Linked DNA regions of Macaca mulatta. The protein of the gene in region 1 interacts with the protein of each later gene in a pairwise test. Links are inferred from orthologs where the notes say so. Each region holds a gene or a part of one and is shown on either strand. Other genes may lie near its edges.

Region 1 (8,912 bases):
ACTAAACAATGAGGACGACTCTGTTCTATTGCAGTTTATTCATTCAGACAATATTTATTGAGTATCCTAGTGCCTGGCACTGTTCTAGATACTGGGGACACAGCTGTGGAGACAGTGACACAGTTCTGCCTACTTGTATCCTTTTCAGATTCAACCATGAAAATTAAGAAGAGTACAGTTGAATTTTTCACCCCCTAATCAAAGTCCAATCCAGATTTTGCCAATTCTTACTTGGCAGTATTTAACCAAAAGTTTCATAGGAATGAGGCTTTCTCTTGCAATGTTCCCGGATTCTGATCCTTCAGGAAAAACAAACTTTATTTCTGCAGTACTTTGTCCTCTTTCGTGTGTTCCACTACCTCGCCACCTCTTAGATAAAGAACTAAATTCCCTGAAAAGCCACAACTACCTTGTAGTAGAAATCGGTCCCTAATGATATTACACTTGCACAAATTGAAATGGGGTTAAAAGCTCACATTGTGGATTCTTAGATTTCTTGCTAAGCTGGACGCTTTTATGGGGCTCACTTTAAATTGAGAGGCAGAGTTTAGACCCTTTTGTTACTTAAGAGATTGAGCAAATTAGCAAGTCCAAGGCAAATCTTTTTTGATTACTGAACTATTACAAATGTCTCTTGGCCAAAGAATAACCTCTCTCCACAGAGAAATCTTCGGCAGGACCTTTTGCTTAAATTCGTAAAATCTGTTAAAGCAAATCTCTCACATTTCCATTAAGTCAGTAAATTACTTCTAGGGGAAAAAGAAAATGCTGGTGATAAAATGGCTGGACTATATTAATGATGGGAGGTGGGGCTGCAGAGGTGGAAGAATTGATGCCACATTTACAGTGCAGAGAATTTCAGCCTTTTTCACGTGTTGGCCTAAATGTAAATGATGTCACCTTCTCCTCCCTGAGTGAGAGGCAAAGTTATCAGGCCGCAGAGGCTTCACAGAACGCGTTCTGTGGCTGACACTAAAATAACTACAAGGTTATTTCTTTCCATATCTATTCTCTTGGAATTTTTTTCAAGATTTTATTTTAGATGGGAAAAATGCATAATGCTTACAGAAACAAAGCCCTAGCTACATTCTTGCTACTGGATTATTGTCATTCTATCTCAATGCTGATTGAAATCCAAGACTTTGTATCGAGGCCTTAATGAGATGCTGGCAAATATCTTTCTGCCCCACTGGAAATGTAATCTTTCTATTGAACATTTTGTACCAGTGAATTTCATCTGCAATAGCATTTTGCATTTGAATCAGAGAGGTCACTGCTTGAGAGCAGACCATGTGGTACTGGCTTGGTTCACTTTTGGGTGAAATTGATCCCTAAAGGTGTTGAAAGTATAACAGTGAGTCATTATAGATAATTAGCTCATTGTTTCATTCAGATGATTAGAGTCATAATACCAGTGTGCAATCTATTATATTTCTAAATATCAGATTTCCCCATAAAAATGAACTGCCAAATCTCATGTTCACAGTGCATCAAGTAGATTGAATTAGTGTATTATCTTTTAATGCATCTTCTTTATTTACATTAGATTTACTTAGGGAGACTCATGCATGTCATAACAGTTGTCCCTAAAATGGTAATATTTTTCTAGCTTTTTCTCAGTTTCGTGTGAATGAAGTAGTTTATGCTGTGAATATAGGCTAAAATACAAAGTAGAAATACTCTCTCCCTTGCCTAACCATCGACATTTTCTTGGCCTTTAGACAGTTAATCATCAAGGAAAAGTGCTAAATTGTACTCTTGTTTGCTAAGGTTGAGATAGCAGAAAAGGAAGCAACTACGGTCTTTTATACAGATAAGAAGCAATAACAAAACACATTTTCAAATATTTGGCTTGGTAGCTAAATTTTTTATTTCATGTCTATAAGCAATAAAGCATATCATGGTAGGAAATGCCTATATATATGTATGTGTGTTTTTAAAGTAAATGTATGCCACCAAAATATAAAAACTGTTGCTTTTCATGCTGTGCTAATATCAAAAGACTGAGCATTTAACTGCTATATGGACATGGCTTTTCAAGTAAATTTGCAAATCAAAAAGGCCTAGCATTGCCTTCATTGAATTCACTTAAATAGTGGCAGCTTACTGTTCTATGCAATATGATCAAGTTAATCAAAAGATGAATAGAACTACAAAAGAGATTTACCTACATTAAGAGACCAAAAGATTGGGCTATAAACCCCAATTATTGGTATTCCAAGTGTGGAAGAAATTCAAGAAAGCGTGAAGCTAGTAAATAATGGAAGAATTTTAACTTTGAGTAAAAATAAAACCTACAATTTCAGAATAGTAAGTTCATCACCATCATAATGTAATAACCTTGTTATGATGCTGTTAGGTATAGAGAAATAAACTGAAAATTTTGGTGTAATTATTTAAAAGGCCAATATAATTTTCTGTAAGTAGAAACATTATTTATAAAAATATTTAAATGTACATTTTGAAATTTGCAATATATGTTTAAAAGAACATTGTACAAATACTTTGTTTTTTAAGTATTTATTTTTTAAATTATATATATATATTTATTTCAGTAGCTTTGGGGTTACAAGTGATTTTTGGTTACATGAATGAATTGTATAATGGTGAAGGCTGAGATTTTAGTGTACATTGTATCTAATATGTAGTTTTTTTATCCTTCACCCACCTCCCATGGACCTTCCTTCTGAGTCTCCAGTGTCCATTATACCACGCTATATGCCTTTTGTACAAATACTTTTAACCAGCAAGTCCATGTTTCAGAAATTACACTAAGGAATTTAAGAGTTTAATAAGAAGGTTTAAAAGGAATTTGGCTACAATTATCATTGTGCTTTTAATTATAACAACAAAAACTTAGAAAAGCCTCAGGATCCCACACTAATGATTTGGTTGTGCATATTACTTATAATATAGAACATACAGATTCTATATAATAGAGTACTATGTAGAGATTATAAATGATGTTGCAAAAATATAATTGCAGAAATGTGTTTGTTGATATGGAAATGTACTTGCAATGTTATGTTAAAAAAAAAAACCCCAGTTAACATAAGTGTTTATAGATAATGATCCTATATATATGAATATACGTGTGTGTGTGTGTGTGTGTTCAGGAAAAGTAGTCACCAAAATACTGAGTGGTTATCTCTGAGGGGTGGTTTATATCTTATTTTTATTTTCGTTTTGCTTCTGTATTTTTGATTTGCATGATTTTTAAAAAATTACAAATACAAAAGGAATAAATTGTTCTATAGTGCCAGAAATGTTACACAGTATATTATTCTAAGTAGAATTAAATACAGTATATTATTCTTTTTTTTTTTTTTTGAGATGGAGTCTTGTTTTGTCACCCAGGCTAGAGTGCAATAGTGCAATCTTGGCTCACTGCAACCTCCGCCTCCTGGATGCAAGCAATTCTCCTGCCTCAGCCTCCCGAGTAGCTGGGACTACAGGTGCTTACCACCATGCCCGGCTAATTTTTGTATTTTTAGTAGAGACAGGGTTTCACCATATTGGCCAGGCCGGTCTCGAACTCCTGATCTCAGGTGATCAACCTTCCTCGGCCTCCCAAATTGCTGGAATTACAGGCGTGAGCCACCGCACCCAGTGTAATGGCTTATTTTACAGCAAGAAGTGGTCAGTTGTCTTCCATGGTCACTAAAGACAGGTTAAGAGCCTGAATTACAGCCTCAGAAAGCTCCATCGTCACTTCAAAGAGCCAGACAATTGTGTATTGATTATCTGTATTTCTCCTCAGTGTTAAAATCATCTCTTTATCAAGCACTTACTATGCATTAGTTTCTCTAAACGCTTTACATGCTTTTTTCTCCATTACATGTTTATATCCACCCTGTATAGTAGCCATTATCTACCTCGATTTATGGACAAAAGGACTCATGTTTAAAGACTTCAATTATTTCTCAAGTTTACATAGTACAAGTTAGATGGCAGAAGCAGGTCTATTTCAAACCCTTGTTCTTAAATGCTACTTTTATATCATTTTGGATGCATTTGGCTGCAAGTAACAGAAAATCTCAACTCACATTGTCTTAAAGAAAATGTCATAACTCACAAAACCAGAGATGCGGAGGTCATGTGGCTCCAGGGCACCTTGTCAGGGCATCAGTTTCTCTTGGCAGGGATTCTATTGGCTTTTCCCTGCTCTGTGTCTTGGCTTCATTCTCAGGCTGATAGCAAGACACTTGTCAGTTCCAAGCATGATATCCAACCACAACACCATCCAGTGAAAGAAAGGAACCAAACCTTTCTTGTCTTTCATTTAAGAATGAGGAGACTTCCTGGAAATCTCTCCTCCCCCACAGACTTTCTCCTGTGTCTGTTTAATCAGAATTCAGTCATATGTAGATTCTTAAAACACTTACTAACAAGAGGTAGGATTACTGTGATTGACTTAGATTTATTATCTCGGATGAAGTAGACTCTGAAGTAGACTTTGATGACTAGGAACTTGGACCACTCTATTGCCTTCTATAAAAGTAGTTATTATCAATTAATTGGAATGCTCAGAGCCAGATTTCAGGCCTCCCACTAGCAATTTATGAACTTTGGATATTAACATTATGCTGTACTTTATCTTATTTTCTATTTCAGTTTTCTCACATCATGTTTATTTTTTAAAATATCGAAATGTGTGTCTTATTGTAAGTGACCTTGAATCCTTTATGGAATGAGGTGGAGTAAAAATAATGGTTAAGTAGCTATTTAAACATTTCAAATTTTAAAAAGTACTGATTTTATTTCCAATCTGGTTTATTATCTGTGAACTACTTACAAAGAAAAGGGCTAGTACAAATTATGTGCATATTTATGACATTTTGGGGCTATTCTGTAAAGCTGGGTTATTTTTTAGGAGGAACTCCTTGACAGTGATTATTGTTAAGCCTAGGATTCAAGTGATGAGGGACATTATTTCCTCTGGAGGTCTGCATATAAAAAATTAAGACCCTTGACTACCTACATGATTGGAGCAGTTTTGCTAGATGAAGAGGGCTCAATCAACCAATTATTTATTCAAAATCTTACTTCTTATTTTTCTACACACTGAGCAGGGCAGAAAAATATGAGATTCAGATCTTGCCCAGAAGGAGTTTACAAATGAAATGGAAAGACACCCCCCAGCCCCATATATACAACAACCAGATAGAAGTCCCATACTCTACATGGTGAAGGCAGCTATGGGATGAACTCCCAGTTTTCTCATTTGTCATACAAGGAATTTGGGCTGGCTGGATAATTCCTTGGTTCTGGCAGTGCTTTAACCTTCTGAAATCCTGTGGTGCTTCTAACACTGGAAGTCTGTCATTTCTTCTCCACTTACCCATTTTAATAAGGTTAAAAGATAGACCTTAAACAACACAGAAAATCCAGAACCTAGACAAATCCTGATAGATCAGACCACTCAAGTGATGTATTTTGTAGGTACCTTTATTGGGGGAAAAATTGCATATCACTGCAGAAAAAAGCTTATGTTAGGCTGGGATTTATTCAAAACAAAAGATAATTCTAGGATAAATTATGAGTTCCTGTCTTAAACCTTTAAGATCTACAACTAACAAATGAGGTTCAGGATGGTTAGTTTGAGGCACTAGAAGATCCTGATTTACAAAAGAGTCAAATATGATCATTGTGCCATACTTGTGAAAGAAAGCACATGGCACACAGTAGGTACTCAATAAATGTTTATCGAATGAAATAAAATGAATGAGTGAATGAATAAAGGAGTGAATGAATGAATGAATGAATGAATGATTTTCATCTAAGTGTTTCAGGCTGGGTTCCCTGCGAAGCTGAGTCAGAAGACACTGACCAGTAGGACCAGGGAGAGGAGGAAGGGGAGGACGAAGGCCAAGGAGAAGTTGAGCCTGGTGCAGACCTAATGAAGGCCTCAGCTCACCATAGTGTGAGCTCTGGAACTGGAGTAGTTCTGAAGTATAGCTCCAAGCTGGCCTTTGTACCCATTTTGACCAGTGTTGGCTATGAGCTCCCCCTAGAAGGAACCCTGACCATGGACAAGGCAGCTTCTTTCAGCTGAGGCAATCCCCAAAGAAGGCTAACAGCTGAGACTTCCTTCTGGCACCTCTCCCAGGAGTCCAGGGAATAAGTCTGCAATGGATTGAATGGTGGCCCCCCAAAATATATGTCCCTATCGTAACCCCCAAAACCTGTGAATGTGACCTCATTTGGAAAAAGGATCTTTGTAGATGTAAATAAGGACCCCGAGATGAGATCATACTGGATTACCTGGGGGGGGTCCCTAAATCCAATGACAAGTATCCCTTTAAGAGATAGAAGAGGAGACAACCCAGAGACACAGAGGAAAAAGCCATGTGAAGACAGAGGCAGAGACTGGAATTATGCAACCACAAGCCAAGAAATGCCTGGAGCCATGAGAAGCAGAAGAAACATAGAGGATTCTCCTCTAAAGCCTTCAGAGAGAGCAAGGCCCTGCCTACACATTGATGTCACACTTTTGGCCTTCATGGCTTTGAAAAAATAAGCCCATGTTGTTTCAGGCCATTCAGTTTGTGGTAATTTTTGTGACAGCCCTAGGAAACTAACACAAAGTCCTTCCTGACGGACATCTAGGTGACTTATCACAGTGTCCACGAAAGATTGAGTTTAATGGGATTTCTGGTTAGACCTATGAAAACTCAGAAATCTTTCTTTTAGGATATTTCAATTCAATTAAGTTTTTTGGTTTTTTGTTTTAGTTTTTGTTTTTGGTGAGGGGGTACTGCTCAAAAGAAGTGATAAAAAAAATGGACACTAGTAATCTTAACAATCATTATTCATACCCATAGAATTAATCCAGACTCCAAGGTTGGTATCTGTTCTCATTGTAAAATGACCGAATTAACTGACAGGACCCCCACAGAATTCCTGAAGAGGAAGGCTTAATTGGTATTCTTTCAGAAAGACCTACCCTACTTACTTTACATCTTACCTGAAAATGGTATTTTTGCTATAGTGTATTTCTAAAAAGAACTATTTCTTGGTTTGAATGTAGCAGCATTTATAGATTTTTACCCAAAGAAATCCAAATTACATACATTATATGACTATAATTACTTATAAACTATGTATGCTATAATTTAATTGTATTTTGAATAAGCGATTTGCATTTTGTAAAGAGCATTTGGTATTTAGCCACTAAGTCACTGGGAGAAAACTTCCATATTGATATGGAAGGTTTTAAAATATTTACATTTCAACTAAGTAAAGGGGGGAAACATCCCAGGTTTTTCTTACAGAGAATTAAAGTAATCTTTACCATCCAGAAATAATGCTCCATCAAGAAAATCGCATTTGTGCTATTTGAAAGGAGAGGGAGGATATCTATGAAACATAAAGCATAGAATTGAAGGTTTATAGAAAAACCTGGAAAATCAGCATAGCTTATTTGTGAAAAGGCTCTTGTTCTCATTAAATTTTGATGTATTCTTTACATCCTGGAATTGTTTCCCTTCATTGTTGAGTGTCACAAGGCAGAGAAATCTGGAAGTACCACGTCATGAATGGGACTGAATTCATTTCAAAAATATTTCAAAATAGGTAATTACGAACAGATAATTGAAATTCTCATTTAGCAATCACTATTATTTCAGACGACTGCAAGATTTCTTTTTTCACAGCTAGGCAGTACAAATTGGTTACATCAAACACACACAAAAATGTTATATTTGGGAATGTTAAAAACATTGATTAAAATAAAAATCCTGATGCCTGGGCTTCAGGCCAATTTTGTAATGCTTTTAAATCAAAGGTGGTCTTACTGGTGGTAGAGGAAAGGAAAAAGAAAGTGAATATAGCAGGAAGGAACAAAGAGAGCAACAGGGAGAGGAAGAGATGGGAGAAAGGAAGACTGAGGAGAGGGGAGGAGGGGAATCGAATGAAAACCACAGACAGACAAACATTCAAGGAGAAGAGATTTTCAGTCTTAAACTCTTCTAGAGAATAAACAGATTAAGAAAATGACTTAACTCATTTTATGAAGCTAGCATAGCCTTAATACCAAAAGCAAACGAGGGCAGTATAAGAAGGAAAATTTACAGGGCAGTTTTTCTCATGAATATAGGTGCACAAATCACAGATAAAGTATAGGCAACCCAACCCGGGTGTAGTGGTGCAGGCTGTAGTGGGAGACCGAGGTGGGAGGATCTCTTGAGCCCAAGAGTTCGAGGCTGCAGTGAGCTATAATGATGCCACTGCACTACAGCCTGGGCAACAGAGTGAGACCCCATCTAAACAAATAAACAAAAATTTGGCAGCGTGAATCCAGCAATGTATTGAAAAGATAATAAGCCATGATAAGGTTAGTTTTATTTCAGGAAGGCAGTTAGTTTAACATCAGAAAATCTTTTTATGGTCATCATATTAACAAAATAAAGGAGAAAATGCATGTGACTATTTTGATCAAGGTAGAAAAAGGGTTTGGTATCCATTAAGGTTTCATTTTAAACAATCCTTAGCAAACCAGGAACAGACAGGAACTTTTTAACCTTATAAAAGATACCTAGCAATTATATAAACATTAAATGTAAAATGCTAAAATAATTCTCTTTAAGACAAGTGTCACATGTTCTGACTTTTACGTAGAAGCTAAAATATTTGAATACATGGAGGCAGAGAGTGTATAAATAGATAACAGAGACTAGGAAGAGTGAGTGGGGTAGGTGAGGAGGATGAAGAGAAGTGGGCTAATGGGTACAAACATACAGTAAAATAGAAGGCATAAATGCATGCAATGTTTGATAGCAGAGTAGGATGACTATACTTACAAAAAAGTATTGTACTCACGTGATGGACATCCTAATATTCCGACTTGGTCACTACGCATTATATACATATAAAAAATTTCTTATGTACCCCATAAATTAGCACAAATTTTA
Region 2 (8,691 bases), on another chromosome or scaffold:
TTGAAAACATAAAATATACTTATAGCTCAATAAGGCATCTTAGAAAATATACACTTGGTAAATATTGATTACGCACTGTCTCTAATTGCTTAAGAGTTTTGAAAGAGTTTCCACATACATTATCTCACTCTATGAGACACTATGGGCCATATAAAGATAAATATGTCATGGTTTCTGTGTGAATAACTTAATCTAGCAGAGAAGCTAATAAAAAATTCTAATATCTATAATACAAGGAAGACTAATGATAAATTATGTAATAAAATTGTGGTGGAGAAATTAAAAGGTGATATCAATTGGTTAACAAGTAGCTTTGAAATAGCTGGGATTTGAACTAGGGTTCACGTGCTAGAAACAGGATTGGACTAATTTAAAAACATAATTCTTATGCATAATAATTATATTCTTATTCATACTATGTAATTGTTTAGCTATGAAACAACTAGCACACCCGCCACTGAAAGTAAATAAAGATGTTCTAGAAAGATAAAGTCAAATATCATAATTTCCCATAGTGCTTAATTTCATCCACTTCTGATGCCTGATTAAAAGCACTGGCTCTAGTATCACAATCCTAGGTTTTAAGGCCTGCTTTGACACCTATCTGCTGTGTGACCTTTAGCAAGTGACTTAACCCCTTCAAATCCCTATTTTCCTAATCCTTATAGAAAGGATAACAGCATCATCTTACCAGGTTGCTGTTAGGATGAAATGAGACAATGAATACCAAGTGCTCAGTGACTAGCACAGAGTTAGCATATAAATAATGTTAACTACTATTATCATATTGCTGCTGTTATATTTTACATTTGAGTGATGAAAATTGGATAATAAAGCACTCATTTAATTCATTTTTAGAATCTAACACACACATGCACCTTCATTTACTATAATTAGACTCATTTAATTCATTTTTAGAATCTAGCTTAATAATACACACATACACACACATGCAGCTTCATTTACTATGATTAGACCACAGTAAATATTTATAAAGGCACTAATACAAAATCTTAAGTTGGATAGTATAAAATCTTCACTAATGATAAAATATAAAAAGAGAAATTAAATATTTTAGCAGGGTTGACAAAAGTAATGTGGCTTAAATTTTTCTCCTAGAAAGCTCAATAACATGAGAAAGTAGGAAGGGTAGTGGCTTAAGGATCAGGGGAATAGAATTTTAATTCTGGCTTTACCATTCCTAAGCTGGTGACCTTTGGATAAACCTATTCCTCTCTTGAGATCACCTTTCCTTAAGGATAAAGTAAGAGCAGTCATTTTTCTTTCAGGTTATTTAGTAGGACCACTCCAAATTTTGCTCTAAACAGCAGAAAACACCATGGGGTGTGGGTGCCACTGTAAATAGCCCTGCTAATTACTATTAATTAACATTTAGCCTAATTAATTACATTAACACGGAGGCCCATGAGACAATGAGGTCCTTAAACAGCTCTGTATTCTCAGCGCTAGACTTAGCACTTAGCAGGTATTCAACAAATGTTGTTGAAGCAATATTGATTTTGATATACTCGCTGGGTATCTTAAATACACTTTACACTAAGTTCTAAGTTAATTTCATTTGTAGCTCATTTTTTCTTTGACGATTTTATTGGGAAGCAATTTCTATTACTAACAATAAAGAAAATGTATGCATATTACTGATAAATGGGTGTCTCTGAGTTCAGAAGGAAAAACATATCAGCATAGGGGCTCAGAGCAAGAAATTAAAGGAAAGAAAGTAAGATTAATAAGACAATAAGATCAGTAAGGAAATCAGAAATAACTGCTGAAATTATGTAATCATCTAGGAAGTGCTGAACTGTTTTAAAATGTTGCTCATTCTCAGGCATTTCCAATGCCTCAATGGAAATGTTTCAATGGCAAAAGAGGGTTGGTTCATGGGAAGAGGAAAGATAGACATTTAGCTGCAAGTAACCTGTAGCAAGGCTGAGTTTCTTTGTAGTCTCATATTTCATATAAAAATTCAAGAGAAGCTTGCTTTTGACTACATCAGAGTTTGTTTTTATTTAAAAATGTTTTCAGTTAAATTACTTATATTACTTAATTCCCTCTCACAAATATTCAAGAAAAACTGATGTTCCAAAATGCATCCAGTGACTTCTAGCACCACCTAGCCACTGCCGAGTACGCATTTCCCAGTTGAAAAAGCATGACTCTTTTAATTTGACATAATATTAAAGTAACAGACATATGGTTTGAAAAATCCAGTGGAACAGAAAAGCTTAGAACGAAAAGAGGAGTCTCCTTCCCACCCTTTCCTTTCCCATCCCCAGTCCCATTCCCCAGAGGAAACTCATCAGTGTACAACTGTTTTTATTTCTTCTAAGGGTTACTTACGTATCTCCAAATAATGTTTATGTCACTATTTCCTGATTCATGAATTATAGGCCACATCCATATAACTCCTACTATGATAGATGAGAATCTGGTTCCCTCAGACCACCTGCCCCCTTCTCTCAATATAGTGAAATCACAATTTTTTAACTTAGGTCTATTTACATGGTTAGAAACATGTTTCTTTTCCACTCTAGATGTTTTCTTCCACACAGAGGATTGTTCTTTAACATTCCTGGCCTCCTGTCCTGTCAGTTATTCCTCCCCATGGAGGTGGAACGAGTTACCTGGTTGGTGGGTGATAACCATTGTTCTAACATCTCATTTGGGAGAGCCAGTCTCCCAAATGTGTTGAACTTGGGCTTTCGTTTCTCCTTCCCTCTCTACCCAAACAAATGAAAGGCACCAGCCTGAACAAGTGTTTCTCTCTGCTGACTCAAACTTTCTCTTGGATGACTCTTCCCAGGGCTGAACTGAATGGGAGTTAGCAAAACAAGCTACAATCACCAAACTAGTTTTTATCAGTAATAAAGGTAGTATTTTGTTCTCTTCCTATTGGCTCCTTTTTCTTTTCATTTGGTTCAGAACTTAAGGAAGAAGGCACTATTTAAATGGAATCCCAAATAACGCAGCATTCTTTCTTCTATGTTCCATCAACCAAGGACAGTCTTTCCTGACTTTCCACTTTGAAAACTAAGATCACTCCCTTCTCATTACCTCCACTCCCTCTTCCACCTCCCAGTTTCCCTCATTTGTGCTTTTACATTGTAAAGGTATTAAAAACCTTTGCTTTCTACTTTTAATAATTAAATACTCCCAGGCTACATAGATAGAATGCATAATTCTGAAGTATTAAAATATGGCAGGATTTTCAGGTGCCTGTCTAGTGCTCTCAGACCTTGAGTTAATTCTCGCTGTGTAAGGCCAGACCTGGGTGTTAAAAAAATACCTTTCCCATACTGTAGTCTGTATGTGATACCTCTAAAATAATGAAAGTTCCCCTGCAGAATTAACTCCCAAAGACAATTTCTTTTCTATTTGCCTAAAAGGAGTTTCAAATATTTTTCTTAAAATTTTGATTTACTACCATATCAATATTTAAAAGATGTTAAGTGATCATTTCTCCAATTATATTGGGCAAAAAAGTGTACATGCCCAAAGGCAGATATTTCTAGGGCTTTTGTTATCTATTTTACATAATATACATATATATTATACATATACTTTACATTATAAAAGTTGACATGTGTGCACATATATATACACATACATACACTTTTATAGCATTAACATTTAAAATAATGTTTGCCTTCTGGAATAAAAGTTATTTTATCCAAAAGACAGGGCATCAATTTTAAACCAGTTTTCTAGACTAAGAAAATCCTTAAGCATCTCTTTCAGAATAAGCCCCAAGATGCTGATAGCACACAACAAAACACAGAAGGACCCCTATAAAGAATTAGTGGATAAATATTTAAAATCTTGTTCTTGGCCTGGTGTGGTGGTTCACGCCTGTAATCTCAGCACTTTGGGAGGCCAAGGCAGGTGAATCACCTGAGGTCAGGAATTCGAACCCAGCCTGACCAATATGGTGAAACCCCATCTCTGCTAAAAATACAAAAACTGGCCGGGTGTGGTGGTGGACGCCTGTAGTCCCAGCTACTTGGGAGGCTGAGACAGGAGAATTGCTTGAACCCGGGAGGTGGAGGTTGCAGTGAGCCGAGATCGTGCCACTGTTCTCCAGCATGGGCGATAGAGCAAGACTCTGTCTCAAAAAACAATAAAATAAAATAAAATAAAATAAAGCAAAATCTTGTTCTTTTAACAGTAAGGTTTCTAAGTTTGTACTGAAACTCAAAATATAGCTTTTAAAAGTCTCCACCAATGCAGCAAGCTTCAAGAGAAGAAAAATGTATGACTCACCTCTTTGACAATATTGTGGGCTTCCTCAGCATTGAAGCCAACCTAAAGGGGAAACAAAAGGTAAAGCTGCTTTCAACACAGGCTTGCAGATATGACGCTACACAGAATATCCTAGGCTGGCCTAGACAGGTGTTAGTGACAGGAGACCACAGTGATAAAGGGCATCGGGTCTACAGAAGGGGCCAATCTTGCCCCTAAACACTTAAAAATACTGAATGCTTTCCCTACCTACCTCCCTGGAGATTGACTCATGAGGTCTGGGGAGAGCCTGCAAGTCTATATATATATTTTCAAAGTGCTTTATACTGGTGATTCTAATGAACATCCTAGATTAAGAATCATTGTATTGTAACACGTAGGAAATAAGCAAGAGGTGGCTATGAAGATGTTATGTGTTATAAGAATATAGATATGGTTTCAGCTAAGTGAGAGAATAAAGTGGTTCATAAGAAGAGAATGCTTAATAGACTATTTTCAATTTTGTTTTTAACTTATGCTAGGCAAAAATTTATAGGCAAAAATTCCTTTCCCAAATTAAAGACTATGAAAATACTTGATAACTCAAGATTAATATCACTTTAGTACTATACAGTGGTCTGACAACTTAAGTCTTTTCTTTGGAGTCCCCATCAATAACAGGAAGATGACAACTGACATTATGGGGTTCTGGTGAGGGTGGGGAAAGCCTGAGTCAGTAAGCAAGGGCTCGTAATCCATAAAGCACCTCCTTCCAGCCCACCCAGGCAAGCATCACCGGGAGCAGGAGTGGCAGTGCCACCAGGACCCCGAGACCCCGAGCCATGGGGGCTGCAGCACCTGCACTGAGGAAGCCAAGGGACGGAGGAAGCAGCGGGAAGACCCGTTTTCGAGGCCCGCCCGGTAGGAGGGCGGCGCCCGTCATCCCATGCCCACTCCTCGCACCCAAGTCAGGCCTCGTCCTCCCAACCCTGCCCCGACCCCACCGTCTGATCCGCGCGCTCCTGGCCACCCCTGCCACCCCGAATCTCAGGACTTCGGGGTGGGGAGAACGGGTAGGGCGGGGCGGATCCCTGGCCCTGCGGAGAGGACCCGGGCTCGGAGGACGCCGCACCCCAACTCTTGGGGCCGCCCTCGCTGGGAGACCACTCGGCAAGAGCCCCGCGCAGAGGAAGGCAGGAGTGGGGGGCGCTTCCAGGTAGCCAAGGGGCGGTACCTCGTCGCAGTGGCGATGGTACTCCTCCATGGTAGCGCCGGCTCTCCCTGGGGGCGGAGCGACGCGCCGGTGGAGCACCGCGGCCGCGCACTGGCCTCCGGGGAGGCCCCACCCCCGTTTATGGCCTAGGGCCTTTCCCTACGCATTCCCCGCCTTTGTGTCGCAGTGGCGTCACCTGGCAGCGCTGGGCGGGCTCCGGGCAACGCCAGGCGTCACTTCAGGCCACGCACTTCTTCCTTGCTTCCTCTGCCCTTTCTGGAAACAAGGGATGAATGTTAAAGAACTGGGAATGGCGCCAGTGTGGATCAGATGGGGTGACCTGTGGCAGTTAGTCTAGACTCCACACTATTGGTTGAGTGCCCACTGCTGTGGTTACTTGCATGTATTTGTTCATTCACCATCATCTGGCACATAAATGTAGTTAATTTCGTGGTAAATCAGTCACTTTGATTTGTCCACTTACTAGCTATGTTACTTGGAAAAATTCACCTCCCACAACCTCAGTTTTCTCATATGGAAACTTACCATCATACCTATTTCACTACTGGTTGTAAGGATCAGATGAGATGCTGTATACACGGCTCCTAAAGTAGATGCTTCTCAGCAAGAGCACAATGGCTACATTTTAAAATAAATGTAGTAATTTTAAATTAGTAATTTTAAAATAAGTTACTAATTTCCAGAGGATCCTAGACACTTCCTCAAAACCTCACAATAAGTCAGAAGAGTTAATTCTTCCATCACTGCTTTTATCAAGATGAACCTGAGGTATAGAGAATTTAATTTGCCCAAGGTCATACATCCAGTAGGGTGTAGAAAAGGGACTTGAGCTCAAGTAGTCTGATAGCAGAGCCCAAGCTCTTAACCACGGTATTACTTTCCTATTGCTACTGTAACAAATTACCAGAAATGTGGTGCCTTAAGGCAGCACAGACCTGTTCTCTTACAGTTCTGTTACCAGTGGAGGGTGTCCAGGTTCTTGGCGCTTTGGACAAAGAATCGGACAAAACGCACAAACAAAGCAAGGAAAGAATGAAGCAACAAAAGCAGAGATGTATTGAAAACGAAAGTACACTCTACAGGGTGGGAGTGGGCAGAGAAGCTGCTCAAGGGCCGGGATCCAGAATCTTCTGTGGTTCAAATACCCCCTAGAGGTTTCCCATTGGCCACTTGGTGTGCACCCCATGTAAATGAAGTAGTAGCCCACAATCAGAGGCTGAAGTGAAGTTACAAAGGCCACACTCTTATGCAAACATCTGATTGGTTGCAAGAAAGCAACCATCAGAGGCTAAAATGAAATTACAAAGTTGCACTTCTATTCAAAGACTTGGCCCATAATCAGTTTGATTGGTTGCAGACAGCAACCAATCAGAGGCTGAAGTTACAAAGTTACACTCCTATGCAAGTGTCTGATTGGTTGCAAAAAACAATTTGCAAATGTCTAATTGGTTGCAAAAAGCAACCAATCAGAGGTAGTTTAAATTTCCCATCGGCCCCGCAGAAAAGGTGGGGGTTTGCAAAGGGAATAGCCTCTGGTCCTTTTGTTACTTAGGCATGGAAGTTTAGGGTTTTCCTTTTATTTTTATTTTTATTTTTTGGGGGACAGAGTTTCTCTCTTGTTGCCCAGGTTGGAGTGCAATGACGTAATCTCGGCTCACCCACCGCAACCTCCGCCTCCCGGTTTCAAGCAATTCTCCTGCCTCAGCCTTCTGAGTAGCTGAGATTACAGGCATGCACCACCACGCCCAGCTAATTTTGTATTTTTAGTAGAGACGGGGTTTCTCCATGTTGGTCAGGTTGGTCTCGAACTCCCGACTTCATCAACCTCAGGTGATCTGCCTGCCTCAGCCTCCTAAAGTTCTGAGATTACAGGCATGAGTCACTGCGCCCGGCCAGGGTTTTCCTTTCAATTTAGTTCTAGGAAGTCAGCCTGAAACAGTTTTAAGTTCCCTGCCTCCTGACCCTATTCTGCTGCCTCAGTTCTGGAGGTCAGAAGTCTAAAATGGGCCCATAGAGCTGCATGCCTTCTGGAGGCTCCAGGACAGACTCTGTTTCTTTGCCTTTTCCAGCTTCTAGAGACTGCCTGCATTCCTTGGCTCATGACCCCTTCCTCCAAATTCAAAGCCAGCAGTATCTTTTCTCCTGTCTTGCCTCTGCTTCAAAGGAGATGTGAGGCATCTCTACAAAGGAGAGATGTATAACTCTTGCCCTCCTGTTTCCCTCTCAAGACCCTTAATTTAATCACATATGCCATGTGTCTTTTGCACTCTGTATCATATTCACAGATGCTCAGAATTCAGATGTGGACAACTTTGAGGGGGAGCATTATTCAGCCAACCACAACACTTCTATTTTGCTCCCCAGAATGAAAGTTGGAAACCATTAGTCTTCTAGTCCAACTCCCTTATTTTACAAATAAAACTGAAGGTGAAAAGGTAAAGTAACTTCTATAGGACACATGGGTGTTACCTGGACTCCCGGGCTTCTGAATCTCAGGCTCTTATTTTATGAACTTAGAACCAAACAGGGCTGTTTACTTGACAATATGGTGTTTGTTATTGGTTCTCCTAAGTTGTGGATCATGCAGGGTTACTGCAGAAAAGTGACTGTAATCATAGAGGAAGCGCATCCTCTTTACTCGGGAGGCTGAGGCAGGAGAATGGCATAAACCCGGGAGGCGGAGCTTGCAGTGAGCTGAGATCCGGCCACTGCACTCCAGCCTGGGCGACAGAGCGAGACTCCGTCTCAAAAAAAAAAAAAAAAAGAAAAGAAAAAGAATTTCTTTTTACCAAAGTTTTCATCCTATGAGCAACTCCAGCAGTCTATTCATGAGAAGGATTCGTAGTGTCTTTGTGAACATCATCAGTTTTATTTCCCTAAAGAACTGTTTCTATGCCTGGGTGGGTTAAATCCTTAAGTTATCTAATCTTAATACTGCAAGGGCTGCACCAGCACATCTCAAGTTTGTGTTATGTGATCATTCATGATGCATATAAAGTGAGATGAAGAAGTGTTGTTCCAGTTATCATTCCTGTGTAATAAATTACCCCAGAATTTAGCAGTTTATTTACTGTATTATGCTCATGGATTCTTTTGATCAGAAATTTGAACAAGGCACAGCAGAAATAATTTGCCTCTGCTCTGCGATGTCTGGGGCCTCAGGTGGGGAGACTCAAAGACTGGAGGAAATTCAATAGTGGGGACCAGAATCATCTGAAGAC

Evidence for each region.
Region 2: the proteins of DYNC1I2 (region 1) and DYNLT3 interact in binary tests that used the Homo sapiens proteins (3 or more experiments, as listed by UniProt). The two-hybrid records come from large-scale screens. The link is inferred for Macaca mulatta from reciprocal best matches to the Homo sapiens genes DYNC1I2 and DYNLT3.

What each region holds. Positions count from the first base shown.
Region 1 is NC_133417.1:76,580,356-76,589,267, reverse strand, and holds the start of DYNC1I2 (cytoplasmic dynein 1 intermediate chain 2), read right to left. Parts: upstream 5,139-8,912; 5' UTR 5,135-5,138; intron 1-5,134. UniProt on the Homo sapiens protein: Acts as one of several non-catalytic accessory components of the cytoplasmic dynein 1 complex that are thought to be involved in linking dynein to cargos and to adapter proteins that regulate dynein function.
Region 2 is NC_133426.1:37,661,405-37,670,095, forward strand, and holds the start of DYNLT3 (dynein light chain Tctex-type 3), read right to left. Parts: upstream 5,572-8,691; 5' UTR 5,501-5,571; coding exon 5,471-5,500; intron 4,321-5,470; coding exon 4,279-4,320; intron 1-4,278. UniProt on the Homo sapiens protein: Acts as one of several non-catalytic accessory components of the cytoplasmic dynein 1 complex that are thought to be involved in linking dynein to cargos and to adapter proteins that regulate dynein function.